2 linked regions of the Macaca fascicularis genome follow. The main gene of each other region encodes a partner of the protein of the gene in region 2 in a complex. Links are inferred from orthologs where the notes say so. Each region holds a gene or a part of one and is shown on either strand. Other genes may lie near its edges.

Region 1 (3,519 bases), on a different chromosome or scaffold from region 2:
AGCAAATGTGGTACATATACACCATGGAATACTATGCAGCCACAAAAGGGAATGAGATCATGTCCTTTGCAGGGACATGGATGAAGCTGGAAGCCATTATCCTCAGCAAACTAACGCAGGAACAGAAAACCAAACAATGTAGGTTCTCACTTGTAAGTGGGAGCTCACCATGAGAACACATGGACAAAGGGAGGGGAACCATACACACCGGGGCCTATTGTGGGGGTAGGGAGAGTATTAGGGAAAATAGCTAATGCATGCTAGGCTTAATACCTAGGTGACAGGTTGATAGGTGGAGCAAACCGACATGGCACACGTTTACCTATGTAACAAACCAGCACATCCTGCACATGTACCAGAACTAAAACTAAAACTAAAACAAAATAAAAGCACATTTTACTTAAGAGGAACTTTTGAAACCTCAATGCAATCATCTCATTTTACATGAAAACTCTGAGCTTAGAGAGGTACAAAAACTTGCTCATGGTCATAGCACTACTTAGCTACAGCACCTGGTCACCTCCTCCCAATCATAATTGTTTCACCAGATATCAGTATGAATTTTGAGAAAAATAAACAAATTGGATAGTTTTCAGGAGTAAACGTTTCCTATATTAATCTTATATGAAAAACTTCACATTATTTCAAACTAGTCAATAAATTAACATTATATATCAAAATAGCAATAAGTTAACAATCCCTTCTTTCACATTTTGATCAAGTATATTCTCAAAAGTCTTACAATATTACATTAAGATTTAACATACCAAATCCAACAGCATTTCATATCAATATTTAACAATACTATGTTCAATATTGAAAAGTAAAAAGAAACTAAATTTTAACTCTTTTTGTATTGATTTCAGCAATTCTGACAGTGTTTAATCCTCTATGCATGTATTTCTACACATCAAGAAAGCACGGCTACAAGGTTAACCCAAAGAACAATTTAAAAGCTATTTCAATGGCAATTTCTGTGACTGAGTCATGAAAACAGACATAAAGTTCTTGAGGTTTTGGATGAAGAAAAAGTCTCCTGCAGAAGAAAAGAACACACTCATTTCAGAAATTAAAACAACAACAACAAAAACTCTAACTGTCCAATTTATTTTTTGTTTCTGAAAGTATCAGTAGTAAATTTAAAATCCACAAATCTAAATCTATACTAGGGAGAAAGCAGCTAGATTTATTTCTAAATAAATAATATATGCCTTAGGACAATTAGTTTTTATTGCTCTGGAGTGTAATAATCCTATTTTATCAATATGTATTACAATACCACCAAGTTTTTAAATAGTAAATCTAGTTATTACAATAAAGGCAATAGCACTAGCATCATAGGCACAATAGTTATTAAATATTTTATTGCTCTTTACTTTCTAACATTTAATTTTTATTAAAACATTAAATATATGGTAGCTTTTTTTGGCAAACAGAACTGAATTGGAATTAACATTGAAATTTTATTTGATTTTCTTAAAGAGTCAAAATTTGAATCTATTTAATCAATATTAATTTATATAAACTGATCTATTTAAACTGGAGATAATTCTGCCTGATTTTCTTAAATTTCTGTTCTGCATAAATCTGCATTATCATAATTCAATATCTTTTGATTCTTTCTATTCCTATAGTCATGAACGTAGTTAACACTCCACTGAACAGCTACATGTGTGCCTAACTGGTCTTCTCATTTCTAGTCTCTCTCATATGCACATCATTCCATTGGCTGCTCCCAGTTTAATCTTCCAGTAGTACAACTACATGGAATTAAGCTTACACTGATGTTCCCAAGCCTGGTTCATATGATAATCACAAGGGAGCTTACTAAAAATACAGATTCCCACTCTCATAGATTTTGATTTAGTAGATCTGGGGCCCAGGCATCTCAGATTTTAACAAGTGACCCAGGTGATTCTAAATCCCATGGACCAGCATATGGGAATTTCTGCTTTGGATAATGTCTGTAAAGTGTGTATCATACAGCTTAATACTACCTGGTACATGTCCACTACCCCTACTCCCAACTAATTCTGTGCCCTTTCCTCCACCAACCTTTACTCCAACTCAAAGAACCTTCTGCAGTGGTCCTAACTTAGGTTCCCAACTTCATCTTTCACTTAATCTTTGTATATGTCATTCCTCTACCATCCTGGCAAACCAGTCTGCTCACTGCTGTGCTGTATAATTTCCATTGTTTGGGTCTTTGTTCATTAGATTTTGCCCCCTCCTCAGAATTCCTATAGCATTTGGTTGTATCACCTAATTCATTTTACATATATGTATATACAACACACACATATATAGGATTTCTCTCTATATCTATATAATATAGATATATAAATATATAGATATTTGAGCATATTTCATAATTCTTTTGCTAGATATAAGGCCCGTAGAGGCAATGACTATGTCTCTGTGTTTGCCATACCGCCCACTGACCACCAACCCCACCACCAGTTCCACATTTTGCCAGGAACAGTCTCACCTACTCAACCATCACATATTTATCAAGTGACTATATTATGTGCCAGGTACTGTTGCAGGTGCCAGTGGTGGACAAGACAGATACAATTCCTGACCTCATGAAGCTGCCACTGTAATGAGGGTGGGAGGTGGAGAAGGACAAGAAAATAAACAATAAAAGAGTGATATAGAGAATAACTGAGTAGCCACTTTGATGAGGAAAAGAGATCATGGATCCTCTCTGACAAGATGACCTACCTGTTAGCACTGGTCTGAATACCAAGGATGCAGAAGTGCAAAGGTCAAGGGATAGAATATCCCACGCAGAAGGAACAGCAGAAACAAGATTTGATTGGTACTCATGCAGCTGGTGCACAGCAGACAGAAGAGGAAGGAAGACAGGAGATGGAAACAAAGGTGGGCAGGGTCCTGATTGGGCATGGTCTTGTGGCACAGGGCAGAGAGAGGGGAAGGGAAGAAAAGGGAAAGGATGGAAAGAGGGAAAGAAAGGAGAGAGGAGGAAGAAATGAACGAAGCAGGGGAAAAAGGGAAGAGGAGAAAAACTGTGGAATTATTCTTTCAGTGTATTACTAAAATTTAATTTTGTAAGGTAATTTTTAATAGAAAAATACTTGGAAGGGATTTAAAAGAGATACTTAGCAAATAAAATAAAATATATTAAAATATTATAGCTAGATTAAAAATTCCGTGCCTACATTTTAAAATGTTAATCTCCTTTATCAATTTTCTTTCACTTTTCTAACACTTTACTTTCAAATACTTTTTTTCCCACTTACCCTACTACCCAGTAGGCCATAACTGGTGGTGCTTTTTTCTGATCAGTCCAGTTTCCAGGTGAACATTCAAACAACACACCATGTTCTTTAACAGGGTTAAGAGAAGACACCGACTTTGTGGAATCTGAACGGTCTCTACTATTTAGTCCTTGCTTTTTCTGTAAATTAATAAGTATTGTTAGTATTAACTGGTATTACTAGTGTTACTTTAAAATGTTTTCACAGATTAATTTGAATTGGCTGATCCAAATACTTA
Region 2 (3,519 bases):
GCTATCACACCTAAGATAAAGAAACTAGTCATTCAAAATTTTATATACAGTTACTTTAAATAGTTTGAGTTAATGCACACACTGGTGCATTTTAACGACCGATCAATTTTAGTAAGTAAACAGTATTTCAAGTAAATCTGGAGTTAGCCGTTCTAGAACTAACATCCTTTTAAAAATGCTAATACTATTTTTGTTTTGGCTAACCACATATAATAAGTAGCACTAATTTCCAGTTTTAAAAAATCTATATTAAGGTTTTACAGAAGTTTCGCAAAGCTGGCAAACAAAACTAGATGGTAGTTTATTACCACAATGAAAAACTCATTTATTTTATTCTACATTAAAAATCTTTTTTTCAGAATAAATGTTTCTACTAAATAAAACTAAATCCTCCCACACTACCACCACCTCATTCATAAGTAATAATCCCAAAGGGCAAAGGGTTAGGTTAAATACTAGTTTGCCAAAAACACACACACATTTCAAGCTACAGAGGTAGCTTCTCAAACTCTTTGCTCTTGCTGTAGATGCTCCAGGTATGGCATAAGTGTGCATCTTTTTTAAGGAAGCTGTGTATCAGCTCTGTTCCCAGTGAACAGTGAACTGTCTCAAATCCACATCACAGAGGTTGGATCAATCTTGCAAACACAAGTCATTGCTGAAAAGAGGCCTTGAACTGAAACAGCCTGGAAAATGTATTAGATACTCATCCTAGCAGAGAATATGCCTTCCCAGCAGTTAAAATGTAATGTGGCAAAACTTAAACACATCACTTAAAATAAGAATTCTGCCTTAACAGATGTAAAGCCCCTGATACAGGAAGGAAACAAATTACCTGGAGTTAGTGAAGGGAGAGATACTAACACATGAAGGAGATTTCTTTTTGCATTTTGTCCAGTTATAGTTGGAAGGGGAGGGTTCTTCCCCCTCCTTATTTATTACACTTTTCTATTAACCTTTGAAAGTGCCTTCTTCTTTCTTTCTTTTCTTGTGAAGTGGAAACCAGAGCAGCTATCCTACCCTAGAAAGATGATATGGGGTCTTACGGGAAAATGAGAATATATATACTACCACTAGTACAAAAACCATTTTCAAAGTGTAACTTGCCTCTATTATCTGTCTTTGACGTCTATAAATACTATATAAATTGCTCCAAACATGCCATTGTTAGACATCCCCCCATAGTGAGAGTATAAAAGAAAACTTAGAATGGCCACTGTTTGCAGTTAATTAAGCTTAATCCTGTAATATTTCCAGTGTTTCTGAAATCCAGAATGTTTAAGAATAATGAGCAGAATACCAGCTTATGAGATACTTTCATATACCTTAATAATTAATAATATGACTATATAAATCAAAATATCTACCTTATAATCCAAGGCTGAGAGTTTTTCCAGTCTTTTGTTTACATCAGAAGAATCCATCTTCTTGGTAAACTGAATAAAACATAGCTTGTTTTGTGCCAAAAATGATAAGATGATAAAACTGTCTGTGAGAAGAGCTAAAAACCATAATTAGATAATACCAAGTTAGAATAAAATAATGGATAGATTTTTTCCACTGAAATGTTACAAAAAGCTATTTTCAAACATACATATTAATTGAAATCACTAAAGTCTCCTGAATATCATTATAGCATTTTATAAAAATATTAAAGATATTAGGAATAAACAATAATTATCAATCTAATCATGTATGATTTTTTTTTCCTGTGACTATTTCAATATACACTGATGTTTGGGGACCACCACTGGATGAGATGTATTTAGAACCAGGGCTATAAAGATATTTTTAAAAAACTATTTCACACCTGAATGTAGAGATGAAAACATTCCATTTTATTTGTGCTAAGACTTTAATCCTATGTTTATATGATAGAAACCATCTGAGGATAAAGTGGATTTATTAGGGGATACTGATCAGTGTTCTCAACCAGTCTCTTTATTTAAAAAATTTTCATCAGTGAATCTTCTTTTAGGGGTATACAAGCTGGATGAAATAAAGCATATTATACCCAATATGTACATTACATAAATTAATATTTAATAATGAAAATTAGCAATTTCTATAGCTTTGTCATTAAGCATACAAGTAGGTAAATAACTAATATTTGTGGATTATATAAAGGGCTATTGATGTTACATAAAATTATTGATAAAAATATGTTACAGGAATTTGAGAAATGCTTTGCATTGTTCCTAGCATAAAGAAATTATTAAATGTTTTATACATTTTCCTTTACTTTCACACCCCTGACCATGCAAACAGTGACCAATAGTGGATCTACACAATTACAAGAGAATCTGGAGAACTGCCAAGAAATCACATTGTTACCACGTTCCCATGAGAGTGTATTATTTTGGGTACAAATAAAAGAAATACGTGAAAAGGGATAACTCAGAGACACAAATTGTGCTGAAAAGTCTCCTTTTATTTCTCATTGAGGAGCATCAATATAACAAAATCATCAGAGCCAGTATTTTATTTGCAGTACCAATGAAGGGGTCAATAATTAGACATATGGAAATGGAACCTCTTCTACAGGGAAGCTTCCTCAGCACCTTACTCCTGTAAGGAAGGGGAAATGGCATGCTTACAATCCTACCCCCAGCTTATTACTATCAGTAATGTTGCTAATTATGGCCATCCTGCAGAGTTCTTTTCTTCACGATGACGTGATTGTCTGATTTATTCAGAGGTAGCTAGTGAGAGAACACAGCAGACGGAAGATTTCTTTATTCTCACCTCTGTCCTTTCCACTAGGACATACTTCCTTTGATTACTAAATTTAAGATACTGACCATTTTCAATCTATCATGATAATACAATGTTTCTCAACCTTTTTACCTTGAAAAAAAGAATATAATCTTTAAAAATTCAGGAGTCAGCACGGTATAGTGAAAAGAAAATGGGCTTCGCAGCCAGAACCTGTATTCAAATCTCATCTCAGTCACTTTCTAGCTATATAACTCTGGACATGTTCCTTAGTAGCTCAGCTTCAGTTTCCTTATGTGTAAAAATGGAAACAACTATACCTTATACAATTGTTTTCTTGTATTAAATAGGTAGGTTAGGAACCCAGCATACAGAGCCTTTTGGCTCAATAAATATCAGTATCCTTCCTATTCAATAACTGGCTTAATATCTTTTTCTTATGTGCTTTGTACCAATTACAGACTGATTGTGATGTCACTTAATAGGACCTGATTATCCAGTATATTAGGCATTGATCTTTATTATTTAGAAAATATAGCCCAAAATCTCTCAAAAGTTAGTATTCATAAGATTTTAGTAACAAGGAATCTTCCTATGAGAGCCAAAGCATCAATTGTTTACTGGTGGCTGTGTTGGTATATTTGTGTTATTTATTCAAAATTCATTTGGAAATGAAATATATACTTGAAGTACCAGTTATAGAGAACTAACTTTGAAAGAATGAAAACAAAACCCTATTTTGAAAACAATGCTCACTTCTTTTAAGGAAAAAGTAAAAAACAACTCAGAACATAAGCTTAACAC

Evidence for each region.
Region 1: the proteins of WDPCP (region 2) and INTU are in contact, whole or in part, in a cryo-EM structure (PDB 7Q3E), measured with the Mus musculus proteins. The link is inferred for Macaca fascicularis from reciprocal best matches to the Homo sapiens genes WDPCP and INTU. Residues at the interface, in NP_663400.2 of Mus musculus: Phe3, Cys4, Leu5, Ile24, Leu51, Ser54, Arg55, Asp56, Lys93, Leu385, Ala386, Glu387, Asp388, Tyr389, Ile427, Lys446, Leu447, Gly448, Ile449, Leu450, Thr451, Arg452, Gly453, Leu455, Leu462, Gln463, Ile465, His466, Tyr467, Gln487; in NP_780724.3 of Mus musculus: Val481, Gln484, Val488, Asp491, Ser495, Asp496, Glu498, Ala499, Ala500, Asp501, Ser506, Glu507, Asp508, Arg513, Arg514, Thr517, Ser532, His533, Leu534, Pro535, His574, Tyr593, Glu610, Gly613, Cys614, Ala615, Ser616, Lys617, Ser653, Pro654.

Annotation. Positions count from the first base shown.
Region 1 is NC_088379.1:132,729,247-132,732,765, reverse strand, and holds part of INTU (protein inturned), read right to left. Parts: intron 3,422-3,519; coding exon 3,264-3,421; intron 1,037-3,263; coding exon 925-1,036; 3' UTR 1-924. UniProt on the Homo sapiens protein: Plays a key role in ciliogenesis and embryonic development.
Region 2 is NC_088387.1:58,502,296-58,505,814, reverse strand, and holds part of WDPCP (WD repeat-containing and planar cell polarity effector protein fritz homolog), read right to left. Parts: intron 1,502-3,519; coding exon 1,368-1,501; intron 1-1,367. UniProt on the Homo sapiens protein: Probable effector of the planar cell polarity signaling pathway which regulates the septin cytoskeleton in both ciliogenesis and collective cell movements.